Caenorhabditis elegans: one gene and its partners. The protein of the gene in region 3 interacts with the protein of the main gene of each other region in a biochemical or structural test. Each region holds a gene or a part of one and is shown on either strand. Other genes may lie near its edges.

Region 1 (4,318 bases), on a different chromosome or scaffold from region 3:
CATGATCGTTGAAGTTTGCCCAGGAGTAGCGGAAAAGCTCAAGACGATGATTGTTTCGGTGAAAAATTCGAAAAATTTCGAACGAGTTCAAAGACCATAAATCACATATCCTATTGCATTTTTTTCGGTTTAAAGTTACTTTGAAGGCGCAAACGTTATCAAAAGACGAAGATTTTATGAAAAAATTTTAAAAATAAATAAAATAAAAATATTTTCGAAATTCAGCAAAAAATAATGATGCAAAAATAAACCATTCGCTACGAGACCCATCGAATTGCAATGACGCTTGCGCCTTTGAAGTAACTGTATGTTTCCCTTATTTTTTTTAATTCCAAATCCCTGTACTTTGACTATAAATTTTTGTTGTTTTCTTACTTTGCACATTTCTCAATTCCCGAAGTTATTTCGACATTTTTAATTGCTTTCCCTTTTTTAAATTTAAACATTCCCCCGGTTCTCACTTACAAAAGTGATATTCTGTTGATATTCTTGTTTCTCGTTTCATAATGCTGGTTGAATTATCCAAAAACTCAACTTATACTTCAGTTTTCAGTTGAAAATATTGTTTTCTTTACCCAAATCGAGAGATTTCAGGTTTAATATTCGAATTAACCGCTAAAATTTGCTTGTGTAGATTTACGCTAAACAAGGCTCCGGCGCAACATTGGAGTGACGTCGGCAAATTTCTTCAGCGAAATTTTTTTTAATGGAAATAGATGAATTTTCTTGTCAACTTGTTCGTTTTGCCCCAGATTTCCTTCTTTACGCTTTAAATGACTTATTTCAGCTAAAAAAAATGGCCCGCTACCTTCTCGGCGCCACAATGTACGTGGAAGACGTGCTTCGAAGAGACGATTGGAGTTTAGAAGAAACAGAAAATGTGAAAAAATACTTCAAAAATGTGAAAAGCTTCAAAATTCCGAAGATTGAGAAACGAAAAGCCGAGGAATTTGATGAGCCATGCAGAAAGAGAGTAAGAATTTATTTTTCAACAGTTTTTTTCTATTTTTTACATATTTTTCAGTCAATTTGCAGTGCCGAGTCGAGAAGGAGAAGTTCGAAAATGATTTGCAGGCTGGCATCCGATTAATGACACTATTTGCAGGATTTGAAGGTAGAAAATTGAATTTTTCATTCATTTCCATATTTATTTGGCTTAGAAATCGACGAAAAAGCGCTGGAAAGGCTCACAGATTTGGCAAAACTTCGAATAATCACATCAGCAAGACAGATGGCGATTGCTCAGCGGAGACGGAAAGATGGCTTCGAAATTCCTTTTAAAGTAATATAAAAATTTAAAATTGAAGATTTTCTACAAAAAATGACACGTTGTATAAATTATTTCTCAATTTTTTACCAAAAATTATATCAAAAATCGTTACAGAGCCCCGTGGAATGGACGTTGAAGCTACAAGGCGTTCAAAAAGTTCTCGACATCAAAGAATGGTATGACGTCACGTATTGGACGAGATTTCGCGCATTGAAGATGCAATTAATCGACGAAAACGGAGACTTGAAGTCGCCGAAAAACCAGAACTAATTCTAATTTCATGTGACATATTTATTAACTTATTTATTGATTTTCTTCTGTGAATTTTGCATAAAACTAGCCAATTTCTCTCGATTTCATTGTAAAATGTCGTATATTTTTTCGAGGTTGTGTTTAAGCCTTATTATATTTACGATACGATTTTTATGACTTTTTCAATTTCAGAACAATATTCTGCAGAATACTTTGACTTTTTTCAGCTCCAAAACATACCGAAATTCTTATTTCAAGCTGAAATTCTCGAAAACCTTTTGAATAAAGTCAATAAAACGTAGAATAAACAACACGCGGTGTCGTTATTTCGGAGCATCGTTGAGGTTTTTTAATTTCGTTTTTTTTTCGATTTCATCAAATTTCACATTTTTCGTAGGTTGTCAAACGAAATTGGTTATTTTTGTTGAAAAACAAGTTATAAATTGACGTAATTTTATTAAAATAAGTTTATCCTGTAAAAATTCTAACAATATATCCGATGGTTTTGCAGTTTTGTGCTGGAGTTCCATGGAAAACATTAGAAGTCGTGTTGTTTTTTTCGAAAAATAACAGCTTGTTAACAATTCTTCGCGAATTTTCCTATAAAATCTCAATTTTTTTTTTAAACCTATCCGTCTTACAAAAAATATCGATTTTGGCATTCAGCATGAGGAATATTATTGTGAAATCGAAAAAATAAAACTATTTCCAAGTTTTCTTCTCCAAAATTTGAGGTGTTTTATTTATTTTCTCCATTCGTTTCCCTAATCCAAATTTTTCCAGCTCCAAAAAATGTCAAAAGACGATCCGATCAACTCCATCTTCTTCGAGCACCAGGAAGCTGCTCTTTGTGCTCAACACGCGCTGAATATGCTCCTACAAGATGCTCTGTACAAGTGGCAAGATCTCCGAGACTTGGCCATTCAGATGGATAAAATGGAACAACAAATTCTGGGAAATGTAATGGAAAATACGAAAAAATTTTAATTGAAATTCTTGATTTTTCAGGCAAACCCAACTCCGGGACGAAGTGAGAACATGAACGAAAGCGGCTACTTTTCAATTCAAGTTTTGGAGAAAGCACTTGAAACATTTAGCCTCAAGCTCACAAATATCGAAAATCCTGCGATGGTGGACTATAAAAATAATCCCTTGTACGAGTTACCATATAATTTACAAAAAAATTTCATAATTTCCAATTCAGAACCGCCCGTGCTTACATATGCAACCTCAGAGAGCACTGGTTTGTGCTCCGAAAATTCGGAAATCAATGGTTCGAGCTGAATTCGGTGAACCGTGGGCCCAAATTGCTCTCTGACACTTATGTTAGCATGTTCTTGCATCAAGTGTCGTCGGAAGGTATAAATTCATGAATTTTGAAGCTAAATTTTGATAATTAGAGCCAGATTTTTATTTATCCCTAAACTACAAGCTGTAGCGTTGATTTTTTTTTCTGAAAAAAAGTTCCAAAAATCGAAAATTATTTTAATTTATCAATTTTCAGGTTATTCAATCTTCGTGGTGCAGGGAGTTTTGCCAAGATCCGATGCAGACGATCTCATCTCGCTATGCCCAGTTGTACCGCCAAAAGTTACACCGAAAAAGGAGCAGAAGCTGGAGAAAGTCATGACAAAATTCTTCAATACCGTCGGAAAACGACTTGGCGGTGGAAGCGGTGCTCCTCCGGATTCTCAAGAAGAAAAAGATTTGGCGATAGCTTTTGCAATGTCTATGGAAACAAAGGATGGCTCTGAAGTGTCTCGAAGTTCCGCTGAAATCGATGAAGAAAATCTCAGAAAGGCGATTGAGCTGAGCCAGGCTCCAGGACCATCAGAACCGGCTGAGATACCGCTATTGACTCGTTCTCGATCTTCGACGCCGCCAGGAGCTTCAGAACCTTTTTCAAATGCCGAACAACAGCGCAGAGATCGACAAAAGTTTTTGGAGCGATTCGAAAAGAAGAAAGAAGAGAGGAACGATGAAAAATAACGATTTAATCGTAAATTTATTATTTGAATTCTATTATGTGAATATATTCTCGGCTTTTCCTGTATAATTCGATTATTCATTTCTCCCGATACTTGTATCCCCAAATACTTGGTGCTTATGTATGAACCGCTTTCAGACTATGTGATATATTATTTAGAATTAGATGAAATCTCCTTTTTTTCTGAATTTTGTTGCCCTTTTCAAAGTTATTCTGGCATTCCATGAGTATTACTACCTTCAATTTTAGAGTTTTTGGAAAAAATAATCATTTTTTTTAGATTGAAAATGTTCGAGGAATTGGATGCAGAGGACGGCGGAGAAGAACAGGAAATGCCAATGAATGGTGATTTTTGAAAATTCAAGAAATTTTTCGAATTCGAGCTTAAGCTAGTGCTCCACGAGGAGTAGGATTTCCCAGTTTTTTTACTCAAAAGAAGAAAATGGCAATATCTTAAGCTATTTTAATACAAAATTTGATAAAAATTGAATTTTTTTGTTAATTTTCTGATCATTTTTTCCCGATTTTCTCTGAAAAAAAAAACTTTAAAAAATTATTTGATGGCACCCTTGAGCCGAAATAATAAAAATATTTTACAAAATCTAATAGTTCCAGAATTCGGCGGCGGCGGTGAGGACATTGACGATATTCTCGGCGATGCTCCGGATCTTCCAGACGACGAATACTCGAATAGTGTTCCACAAGGAGCCGCTGATGGATCCATTGAAAACGACGAAAGACGAATGAGAAATGATGGAGCCGGCTCAACGAACGAGGATGACGAAGAGCCGATCGAGCCAACTTATCTG
Region 2 (5,898 bases), 2.5 Mb from region 3:
ACAACAGCATGGTCTACAGCAGGTACAACATCTAGTACAGCAACAAGTTCTACAACAAGTACAACAACATTTGGGTCTACAACAGCAGCAGCATCTTGGTCTGCAGCAGCAACATCCACATCCACCACCACCTCCTCCACATCCACAACATCCACAACATCCTCCATTTCTTTTAACACGAGAAGATCCGATAATTGATGTTTCAGATGAAATTATAGATATTTCTGTTGTTGATACTGGCAAAACTCCTGATTCAACCTATAATAGTATTGTGTTTTCTAACATTTAGAACCTTTACCGATACCTGTGAAATAGCAATAAGGGCAAAGAGAGTCAGAAGTACGATCTTATTCATTTCAGATTATTAGCGTTCGATATGGTTTTCGAATTTCCATCCATTAAATACCCTCTTCTTCTTACGTGTTTGTCGTCTCTCATTTGACACTTTTGCCGGAAACCATTTTTTGTGATCTCTCCGCGCGAGCCGCGTCATGGAAATTGAACACAAAAACTAAGACACTTTGGATCATGGAAAAGTTATATAAAAGCACCATAAAATTGAGATATTCATCAGTTTCTATTCGATCAAAATGACCAAATTCATAATTGGATCTACATTAGTTGTACTGATTTATACAATTGTATCGATTTCACAGGTTAGATTAATAGATTTAGTTCTCGTATTTAAGAAACTTATAGGTTGAATCAGGAGTTTTGCCAGTATCAACAACAGAAATATCTATAATTTCATCTGAAACATCAATTATCGGATCTTCTCGTGTTAAAAGAAATGGAGGATGTTGTGGATGTTGTGGATGTGGAGGAGGTGGTGGTGGATGTGGATGTTGCTGTTGCAGACCAAGATGCTGCTGCTGTTGTAGACCCAAATGTTGTTGTACTTGTTGTAGAACTTGTTGCTGTACTAGATGTTGTACCTGCTGTAGACCATGCTGTTGTGGATGTGGTTGCGGATGCGGATGCTGTGGATGTGGAGGTGGAGGTCGTAAACGTCGTTCCCTTCAAAAACTTCAAATTGATGAAGCTAATCGTGCTCTTGGAATCAAAAGAAGACCATCCAATGGCAAATGTTAATCCATTAATCTATTTGTTTAATTTATTCTAATTCTCGATCGGGAATAAATAATTTGGAAATTATTCAACTTATTAAATTCATAGATCTGGGAAACTATCAAGAATCAAAATCTTAAGACTATTCTCCTCTCGTCTCGTTTCACATCTCTTCGTTCTCCGTCTATCGATCGGGTGATGCTGCAAATCATTTTTATCGATCTACAAAGTGCTGCATTTACTAACGGCATATCGTTTCGAGACCCAAACGCTGATGTGCGTTATTGCAAATAACAGTTATTTTTCCAAACCAGCATTACATTACAGTCCACTTTTTTTCCTTTTCATATTTTCATCCTGGACCCAGCTACATACATTACCGCAAACGTGCAAACGGTAGATTTTATTTACTAGTTCCTTTTTTCCGAAAAATTTCAAAAAATTGTAAACTGCGTTTCCGTTTTCAAAGAACTTTTTTGAAGTTTCAACGCTTTTCATCGCAAATATTTACAAATACGTCTCGTTATTTAGAAATTTTAAAATTTTTTGAACAGTGAAAATCCTTTTCAAACTTCGCGCTAAAATTATAAAGCAACCGCGCCCTAACGTCAGAATCACCAAACACTTTTTGCGTACACTTGTTGAAAACACGCTTCTATATGCGTGGATGATGACAATTTTCAAATCTGTGTCGTTTTTAGAAATAATTTCGTGAACTTTTTTAAAATCTCAATTTTCTTTTATAGTTTCGTTCCCACTATCATTTTGGACACTCATTCTTCTTATTTTAGGTCTTAAATTGTACATAATGGCCTCGGTTCCAACGCATCAAAGCGAAAAAGAGAAGAAAAATGATGAGCTGTCGACAGCTATTCTCAAGGACAAGGTAAAGCCGAATCGCTTGATCGTCGATCAGTCCGAGCAGGATGATAATTCCGTCATCGCAGTTTCCCAAGCTAAAATGGACGAACTGGGACTTTTCCGTGGAGATGCTGTCATCCTGAAGGTATGTGTTTCTTTTTAATTTTTGATTAAAACGCACAATTTAAGAACTTGTAATGTCTGTGATTTACAATATAGGCTGAAAAACGTTCTGTTTTGAAGCTAGTACTGTTTATTTGCTGATGGTTTTATGAGTGTCATAGTTGTGCGATATAGATCAAGTAACGAATCGTTTCAAAGTATTTCGTAATCCTAACACCACGCAAAGGTGCTGATCTCGATTTTTAAACGGTTGTCACACAATTAAATTTTATTTTTCGATTCTAATGATTATTTTTGCAGGGAAAGAAGCGAAAGGAATCTGTCGCCATCATTGTCTCTGATGAGTCCTGTCCAAACGAGAAAGTTCGCATGAACCGTGTTGTCCGCAACAATCTTCGTATTCGCCTCGGAGACGTCGTGAGCATTACGCCAGCTCCAAATCTCAGTTACGGAACCCGCATTCACGTGCTCCCTATTGATGACACTATCGAAGGACTCACTGGAAACTTGTTCGATGTTTTCCTCAAGCCATACTTCCTGGAGGCTTACCGCCCACTTCACAAGGGAGATATATTCACTGTTCAAGCTGCCATGAGAACTGTGGAATTCAAAGTTGTCGAAACTGAGCCAGCTCCAGCCTGCATTGTGTCACCTGATACCATGATTCACTACGAAGGAGATCCGATCAAGAGAGAAGAAGAAGAAGAGAGCATGAATGATATTGGTTATGATGACTTGGGAGGAGTTCGGAAGCAATTGGCTCAGATCAAGGAAATGGTTGAACTGCCACTTCGACATCCCCAACTTTTCAAGGCTATTGGTATCAAGCCACCACGTGGAATTCTTCTCTTCGGTCCACCTGGCACAGGAAAGACTCTTATTGCACGTGCTGTTGCTAATGAAACCGGATCTTTCTTCTTCCTTATCAACGGACCTGAAGTAATGTCAAAGATGTCTGGAGAATCCGAGTCAAATCTTCGTAAGGCTTTCGAAGAATGCGAGAAGAATCAACCAGCTATTCTGTTTATTGACGAAATTGACGCCATTGCACCAAAACGCGAGAAGACCAATGGAGAAGTTGAGCGCAGAATTGTTTCTCAATTGCTTACACTTATGGATGGAGTCAAGGTATGCTTTTAAATTTTATATGATTCGATAATAATAATTATTTTAGGGTCGTTCTAACCTTGTGGTCATTGCTGCAACAAATCGTCCAAACTCGATTGACGGTGCTCTTCGTCGCTTCGGAAGATTCGATCGTGAAATCGATATCGGAATTCCAGATGCAGTCGGCCGGCTTGAGATTCTGCGCATTCACACGAAAAACATGAAGCTCGCGGATGATGTTGATCTTGAACAAATTGCAAATGAATGTCACGGATTCGTTGGTGCCGATTTGGCATCGTTGTGCTCGGAAGCCGCTCTTCAACAGATTCGTGAAAAGATGGAGCTCATTGATCTCGAAGATGACCAAATTGATGCAGAGGTTCTTAATTCACTCGCTGTCACAATGGAAAACTTCCGTTTTGCTCAAGGAAAGTCTTCCCCATCCGCTCTCCGCGAGGCTGTTGTCGAAACTCCGAATACAACTTGGTCCGACATTGGAGGTCTTCAAAACGTCAAGCGCGAACTTCAAGAATTGGTTCAGTATCCAGTGGAACACCCAGAAAAATATCTCAAGTTTGGAATGCAGCCATCAAGAGGAGTTTTGTTCTATGGGCCACCAGGATGTGGTAAGACACTTCTTGCCAAGGCAATTGCCAACGAGTGTCAAGCCAATTTCATCTCCATCAAGGGTCCAGAATTGCTCACAATGTGGTTCGGAGAATCGGAAGCTAACGTCCGTGATGTCTTCGACAAGGCTCGTGCAGCTGCTCCTTGCGTGTTGTTCTTCGATGAGTTGGATTCGATTGCCAAGGCAAGAGGTGGAGGCGCCGGCGGTGATGGAGGAGGTGCATCGGATCGTGTAATCAATCAAGTGCTCACCGAAATGGATGGAATGAACGCGAAGAAAAATGTGTTCATCATCGGAGCTACAAACAGACCTGATATCATTGATCCAGCTGTTCTTCGTCCAGGTCGCCTTGATCAGCTTATCTACATCCCACTCCCAGACGAAGCTTCTCGGCACCAAATTTTGAAAGCTTCTCTTCGTAAAACCCCACTCTCCAAGGATCTTGACTTGACCTTCTTGGCCAAAAACACTGTTGGATTCTCTGGAGCCGATTTGACCGAAATTTGTCAGAGGTGAGTAATTTAATTATTTGAAAATTTGTTCAAAACGCACAACTTAAGAACTTGCGAAATCTACACATTCTTGGCTCTTCTTAGCTGCGTTTTGCAGTTCAGATTCTGCCAAGTTTTGTGTTCATGGTTACGCGAGTGTCATATTTGTGCTATATAAAAAATCGTCTCACAGTAAATTATAATAGTTAGAGTATCTAAAGTCGCGCTAAGGCCCCGATATTCTATTTTTCCTGGTGTGAACGATGACATTTTCAGAGCGTGTAAGCTGGCTATTCGCGAATCGATCGAAAAGGAAATTCGGATTGAGAAGGAACGTCAAGATCGCCAAGCTCGCGGTGAGGAGCTCATGGAAGACGATGCAGTTGATCCAGTACCAGAAATTACTCGTGCTCACTTCGAGGAAGCCATGAAGTTTGCCAGACGCTCTGTTACAGACAATGACATCAGAAAGTGAGTTTTGATAATGGTTTTATTGTATGTCTATAAAATATGTTTGTAGGTACGAAATGTTTGCACAAACATTGCAACAATCTCGTGGCTTTGGAAACAACTTCAAATTCCCAGGAGAACAACGCGGAAGCGATGCCCCATCTGCCCCTGTACCTGCTCAGGATGATGACGACCTTTATAACTAATGTATTGAGTTTATCTACTGAGTCTATGTATGATACTCGTTTTATTTTCTCCCATACCCACTTTTTCACCTCGTATTTCACCCCTTTCCAACCCCCGATTTACCACTATTTATTGTAATTGAGCCCATGTTTTCGCTTTAGAAATTAATGGTTACGGATGATCTTCGCGAGAAGAAAAAATTTGTAGATACCTACATCCCAGTTGATCAAAAAGTATATCCCATTTATTTTTTTGCATCCCTCCCAATGTTTTGTATGTATTGCCGTTTTTGACATATAAATGTACGATGTCTGTAATCATAATTGTGTACGATTGTGTTGCCATATTCAAACTATTATTTGTGATTGTGTAGGTGGAATTGTCTCATGACCAATGACTGGTTGTTCCGTTGATAATGGGAAGCTGTATTTAAGATAAGTTGCCTAAGTTTAACGTAATTTTTTGGACCAGGTTTTAATATCAATCATCAAACCTATTTAGCGATCCAGTTGTTCTTGATCTTTTGGAAAGTAGAAGTGCTTTTTCATTCATTGATATCATTTTCCATCGATATTGTCTCCACACTCATAGGAGTGCACGCATTTCGTACATAGTCATGAGGTTTTTAACAAAGAAAATGCCGAATTGAGTACTATAGTTGCTTATCTTCAAGCTTGTTGAACTCGTTTCTGGCCAATTTTCAAAAATTCCTTGTCCTCGTTGTCTGTCACATGAATCTTTTAGATCAGATATTAATATTGATAGTAACTGATAAGTGCCAATAGTTTTCAAATTCTTAAAAATATCTGAAAACACAAAATTTGCCGCAAATATGCACATTTTTGTAAGAAACACCGTCACGAACAAATTCACACTACAGTGCTTTTGTTTTTTTTTTCTAGAAAAATTGGTTTTTCATGCCTGAAAGTCGCATTTCTACTATTTATTTTCCATTACTTTAGTCGTATTTCTTCTCGTGAGACA
Region 3 (5,895 bases):
GCAAAAAAGTTGATATCAAATTGCAACGTGGGAAGGATAAGCAATCATTGTGTATAAATTGGAAATTTTCAGGTTGTGGAAGCCTCTCTCGTCGAAGGAGATTCAATTGTTGCGAAAGAAGCATCAAGCTCAGAAGACTCAGTTTCTTACATTTCTCAAAAAGGTGGTACTGTACTTGTGGATAAATCAGGAGAAATTCTTTACAAGCACATTGAAGACGATAAATCAGATTCATGGCCAGATATTGATGAAATAGTAAAACTGGTTGAAGCAAGGGTATGCTTTTTTATTTTTAAAACTCTCTTAACAAACTTCTCCAGAACGCCAAATACTTGGAGAGCACTAATAATTCTACAATATCAATTCCGAAAGGTGGAAATCTGGCAAAAGTGAATTCGGAAATTTCTGTAACAAAGGAACTGGCGACGGACAAAAAGAAACCGTGTTGCGTAATTAGTTAAATATCTAGACTACATTTACATTAAAACCATACATGTTATCTTGGCTGATCTCATTATTAATTCATTATTTTAATATTAGATTATTTAACTATGAAATAACATAAACATTAATTTATTTTCAATTTGTTCCAATGTGGAACTTCCAAAAAAAAAACACTCGAATTTAATGTGGTTGTTATTTTACAGTGAAAAAAGATGTTCGGATGCTTTGATTTCTTTTGGTTGAAGATTTTCAGACTCGTTTATTAAACTTTTACTGTATTCTTGGAATAAAAAAGTTCAATTTATTTTCAATTTTCAATCAATTTAAAAATCTATCATCTGAAGAATAAAACACAACACTATTACATAGAAGTTTCAAGGCAAACCATATATGGCCATATGAATTTTTTTGATCGTTTCAATAGTTTTCTAAAAGTACAATAATCCACGGTAATCCTACAGTACCCTGGCCATATCCCGGAATATTTACGATTGCATCAGAGTAGCAACAAACGTGTGTATTGATTGATTTTTTATCGTATTGAAGGACATCTGCTGGTGGACCAGGTACCCGCCTATAAATGTCTAGAATTGGGTGAGTCTCACAATGACGTCCCTCGGGTCTCAATTGTACACAATCGATTGTTGAGTTGCGCTACTGTTTTCCTCTTGAAACTATAGTTAACTAAACGATTTTTATTGAAAGTGAGGTTTATTCTCGTTTAAAAAAAACAATATTTATTAAAGAATAAAATTTTGTAAAATCAAAAATGTGCGTTCCATCCACAGTCTCGTTCATTTATATACTTTTTTGTTGCTTAATTTATCTGCCCCTTCAAATTCTTATTGCTCTAAAAATATTCAAATTAAGTGGTGTCTGAAAATAGAATCATAAAGATACAATATTTAACACTCGTTCTTCCGAATTCAGTTTTCTACCGATGTTTCTCTCCTGCAAAAATGTGGTGTCTCGGTAGTGCAGCAAACGCGCTCCACTGCATGTTCATTGAGAGGCCGAAATGTCAGCGTCTTTGCAGCTGCATTGCTCCTTCGATTTTTCTATCTCTTGCGCGCGCGGTGCAAATGTCTTCCTACAGTTTTTGCTCTCGAAAATAATTTTATGTTTTCCTCTATACACAATTCTAGTCCAATATTGTTTTCATACAATCCTCTGCGTTTAATTTTTCCGTCTCATAAATGTTCCCATTACCGTAAAATATTTGTTATCAGACCTCTCACCATTCTCTTTATCGTTACTCTACTTATCAAAATCACGTGATCATCACGAATTTCCAGAAATCGTAGATGATTGAAGACGAGAAAGCAGGCTTGCAGCCGATGGACATAAGTGATGCTTCTGTGGTGCGTTTTTGCCTGACATTTTATATACTCATAGGCGATTAGTTCTTTTTTCAGGCAGATGTTGAAAGCAAAGACTTCCTCACAAGTCTCTTTGACTGTGAAGGTAAATCAGATGACAGAATGCTTCGTTACGCCGATGCGATAATCGATGTTCAAAATCTGAATTTTGATGTTTCTCCTCAGTGTCTGCAATCGAACATTGCCGAAATAATCACAAAGTTTGTACTTTTATCTCAAGATGGATCAAGAAGGGGGCTGTCAAGATCGTTCAATTTCATCGACCCTGATATCATTGCTGGATGTCGTGAAGAAGACGCCATCGAGTTTCTCTTAATCAATTTTGTTCGTTGCCATCATGAGCTTGGAAAGGTACTCTATCTAATATAGTTCTATTTTTAATTTAACAATTTTCAGAGCGGTACTTCAAATTGCTACAAGAAAACTCTCGAATCTACCAGGAAAGCAGTTTTCTCAGTTTTTGTGATGATACAGAGAGGCTACTTGGAGAGCCAACTTCGCAGCCAACATGCTAGTTTGGTGTTCACAAAAAGACTTCTGGAGGATACGGTGTCAAATGTTTTTCTAAGAACATTGGTTGAATACCTTGCAAGTACAGATGAATGCGATGAAGACGCTATTACAGAAACATTTAATCCAATTTTCGGGATTTTGCGGAGCGGAATTATTTGTCAACGCTTTGAAGACAATAAGGACGAAATTGTTCGTCAGATCCTTCGTGTGATGAACTTGCTTCTCAGTATCAGACTCCCTTCAAACGGACCTCGCCCACTGAGTAACCTACTTGTTAATCGAGAAGATTTTCTCCCAACGCCGTCCGAAAAAATACAAGGACGCGAGTTTGGTTTAATGTCCTTCCTAGGACCGTTCTTTTCGTACGGCCTCGAATCATCAGCAAGGCGTCCAAATCATCGAGTTTTTGTGGATTGTGAAGAAGATGCAAGAAAATATGATGGATCAGTCAACACTGAGCAGAAACTGTATTTCCAAAGAATGGATCCAATTCGAACTATGCTTCATCAATTGATGCTTCCGCTTGCTTCGGATCAAGGAAGTCGCAACAAAACTCTAAGATGGATTGCCACCATCATAAGCACCAATGACATTCGCACTCGTTCACATTATGATCCTTCAGATGTCTTGTGTGATCATTATATGACAAATTTTTTGTCCGTGATGTACATGTTTTCCGAGAAAATCGACTTGTCCAAAATTATCGTAGATTATCCGTTTTTACCGAGTTCGCTTATAAATATTTCCAAGGAGACTCGTCTCAAAATGGACGAATCAGGAGCAGTCGCTTTTGCTAGCCAATTCGGTAAGTTTCATTTTTCTTTCTCAAAAAATTAACTTGTTTTCTTTTTCCAGCAGATCGTCCAGATGAATATCATTTCTCTACAGTCTGCTTCTTCCTGACAATTGCAGCACAGAGGCTCGTTATTCCTCCATTGATGAATCAAATAAGTGAATACTCTCGACACCTTAAGGAGCTCAAGCATAAGATCAATGCGCTCAAAGAAAAACTAAATACTGTGTCAGGATTCGAGAGAGCTGAGGTGGAAAAGAAGTTGAACTATGAGACTGAACACTGGAAGCTCATGTCTCGTCATCTTTTATGTGTTAAGACACAAGCTCAAGATCCTGCATTAATGGCATCTTCTATGGATTTTGTCGATAAGCAGATGAAATTCATTTTGAATTTGCTTTGTGATAACTTGGATTTGCTCGGAGACGACAGTCAACTTCCAACTGAAGTATCACAAATGTTTTGTGCGCTCCCAGAATATTTTCTAGAGGATGCTCTCGATTTTTACATATTCGCTATTTCCAATGGAATGAAACTGCTCATGGAGAGAAATGCGGATTGGATTTCCCGTCTGACGGTCCTTTTCACACAATATCACTACATCAAAAGCCCATTTCTCGTTTCCAAACTGGTGAGAGTGCTGTCTTCTATTCAACCTCCATTATGGTTCAACGTGGTCAGACTTCGAATGGCACAAGAAAATTTATTGATGTGCATGATAAAGTTCTACTCGGATTTCGAAGACAATGGTGACTTTTATGAAAAGTTTAACGTTCGTGGAAATATCCAGTACATGTTGGAAAAAATGGAGGAAGATATGTTCTACAAAGGAAAGTTTATGGACATGGCAAGAGAATGCGGAGCAGAGTTCATTCGGTTTGTCAATATGGTGATTAACGATGCAACATGGTGTATAGATGAGAGCTTGTCTGGTTTGAAGAGTATCCATGATGTTGAGAAAAAGATGGCGAAGTAAGACTATTTCGAATGATAACTTAAAAATATAAATTTTATTTTCAGCAAAGTCGAATGGGACAACACAGATCAAGAAATCCGTAATCAGGATCTCGGCGTGTACGAGGAGGCAAAACGTAAAGTGAAGGGATGGCTTGGAACAGCCAAAAGTAATCTTAAATTGCTACTATCGATTACCGTAAACTCACCCGAACCTTTCCGTACTCCGGTTCTCGGCGAAAGACTTGCTGCAATGTTGAATCACAATTTATCGCAACTCATTGGTAGCAAGGCCTCCGAGTTGAAAGTCAAGGATCCAAGAAGTTATGGATGGGAACCACGGGAGTTTGTATCGTTGCTGATCTCAATCTATTTAAAGCTGAATATGCCTGCATTTGTTAAATACATAGCATACGACGAGGTTGGTTAACACATTTGTTTATTCAAAGAGATTTATTTTAATTATTTTTCAGCGTACCTACAGTCCTGAATTCTTCCATAATGCGATTGAATGCATGAGAAAGAATAGTATTGTTGGATTCAGTCAACTCGAAAGTTTCGAACATTTGGCCGAAGATGTTAAAAAAGAGTATGAGGCAAAAGCTGAGCTTGAAGAAGAGTATGATGATGTACCAGAAGAGTTCAAGGATCCTATTATGGATGCAATTATGGTTGATCCTGTCAAATTGCCATCAGGACACGTGATGGATCGTGCAGTCATCGAGAGGCATCTTCTCAGTACACCCAATAATCCGTTTAATCGTGCTCCCTTGTCGCACAATGAGCTTTCTCCCGATTCTGAGTTGAAGGCAAAGATTCAGGAATGGATTTGCCAGAAAAGAAATTCAAAGAAATAATTTTCTATCATATTCTATTGTTACCCAATTTTGTATTTATTGTACTTGACCATTGCACATGTGCAAAATGTCTGTAAATTTCACGCGTTCCTTTCATTTTATAAGTTTTTCTGGTCTCTCAATGGTCTAATCTTTCGGTTTCGGTTTCATTTTCTGCATGGATTCCTTAAAGTTGGTATTCTTGCCCTCTTTCATCAAACCTAAAAAACACGAGTAGTGCCTTGAATGTGAATAAATTTATACTAATTTACTTATTTTCTAAATTTTGGCTTCTATTGCGGTCTCCGATCCGCATACTTATATTTTTATTCTTTGTGAATTTCTTCACATATTCTGATTTTAGCCTTGAACCTGGAATGACTAAATTTCTGTAGGTTTATAACGAACGGTGTCGTATTGTTTTGTGATTTGTTACATGTCAATAACTTATAATATTTATACGTTCCCAGTCATCCCAAATCCGATTAATTTTTATTTTTGAAATATATTTACTGCTTTCAGTAGCTTGGTACATCTGGAACGTATTTGGTCGACGGCAATGTCTTTATTCGCGAGACAACTTCAATCCTTGACTGCCAGTGGAATCCGCACACAGCAAGTTCGTCTTGCGAGCACGGAAGTATCATTCCACACAAAGCCATGCAAACTTCATAAACTTGACAATGGACCAAACACCTCTGTCACCTTGAACAGAGAAGATGCTCTCAAGTACTACCGTGACATGCAGGTCATTCGTCGCATGGAGTCTGCTGCTGGAAACTTGTACAAGGAGAAGAAAATCCGCGGTTTCTGTCATCTCTACTCTGGTCAAGAAGCTTGTGCCGTCGGAATGAAGGCTGCAATGACAGAAGGAGATGCCGTCATCACTGCTTACCGTTGTCACGGATGGACCTGGCTTCTTGGAGCTACCGTAACCGAGGTTCTTGCTGAATTGACCGGTAGAGTTGCCGGAAAT

The links.
Region 1: the proteins of ufd-2 (region 3) and atx-3 form a complex in vitro, tested with the Caenorhabditis elegans proteins (one study listed by BioGRID).
Region 2: the proteins of ufd-2 (region 3) and cdc-48.1 form a complex in vitro, tested with the Caenorhabditis elegans proteins (one study listed by BioGRID).

What each region holds. Positions count from the first base shown.
Region 1 is NC_003283.11:15,574,875-15,579,192, reverse strand, and holds atx-3 (Ataxin-3 homolog), read left to right. Parts: upstream 1-1,749; 5' UTR 1,750-1,866; intron 1,867-2,305; 5' UTR 2,306-2,314; coding exon 2,315-2,482; intron 2,483-2,530; coding exon 2,531-2,676; intron 2,677-2,726; coding exon 2,727-2,881; intron 2,882-3,026; coding exon 3,027-3,511; 3' UTR 3,512-3,695; downstream 3,696-4,318. Other genes in the region: F28F8.7 (ELM2 domain-containing protein), read left to right, coding at 1-100; F28F8.9 (uncharacterized protein), read left to right, coding at 707-736, 788-973, 1,036-1,114, 1,161-1,282, 1,385-1,540; Coiled-coil domain-containing protein mdt-28, read left to right, coding at 3,797-3,854, 4,119-4,318. UniProt on the Caenorhabditis elegans protein: Acts as a chain editing deubiquitinating enzyme that binds and cleaves 'Lys-48'-linked polyubiquitin chains, with a preference for chains containing four or more ubiquitin molecules thereby modulating protein degradation by the ubiquitin-proteasome pathway.
Region 2 is NC_003280.10:10,559,369-10,565,266, reverse strand, and holds cdc-48.1 (Transitional endoplasmic reticulum ATPase homolog 1), read left to right. Parts: upstream 1-1,859; 5' UTR 1,860-1,876; coding exon 1,877-2,074; intron 2,075-2,202; exon of another isoform or gene 2,203-2,315; intron 2,316-2,352; coding exon 2,353-3,180; intron 3,181-3,226; coding exon 3,227-4,299; intron 4,300-4,332; exon of another isoform or gene 4,333-4,550; intron 4,551-4,554; coding exon 4,555-4,749; intron 4,750-4,798; coding exon 4,799-4,934; 3' UTR 4,935-5,236; downstream 5,237-5,898. Other genes in the region: C06A1.7 (uncharacterized protein), read right to left, coding at 1-258, 305-355; C06A1.6 (uncharacterized protein), read left to right, coding at 591-656, 700-1,092. UniProt on the Caenorhabditis elegans protein: ATP-dependent chaperone which probably uses the energy provided by ATP hydrolysis to generate mechanical force to unfold substrate proteins, disassemble protein complexes, and disaggregate protein aggregates.
Region 3 is NC_003280.10:8,061,004-8,066,898, forward strand, and holds ufd-2 (Ubiquitin conjugation factor E4 ufd-2), read left to right. Parts: upstream 1-1,737; 5' UTR 1,738-1,748; coding exon 1,749-1,805; intron 1,806-1,847; coding exon 1,848-2,174; intron 2,175-2,219; coding exon 2,220-3,141; intron 3,142-3,191; coding exon 3,192-4,101; intron 4,102-4,149; coding exon 4,150-4,504; intron 4,505-4,556; coding exon 4,557-4,940; 3' UTR 4,941-5,190; downstream 5,191-5,895. Other genes in the region: T05H10.8 (peroxiredoxin-like family protein), read left to right, coding at 73-276, 321-461; pdha-1 (Pyruvate dehydrogenase E1 component subunit alpha), read left to right, coding at 5,297-5,310, 5,442-5,895. UniProt on the Caenorhabditis elegans protein: Acts as an E4 ubiquitin ligase mediating the assembly of polyubiquitin chains on substrates ubiquitinated by another E3 ubiquitin ligase. The elongation of preexisting ubiquitin chains preferentially targets ubiquitin 'Lys-29' and 'Lys-48' residues.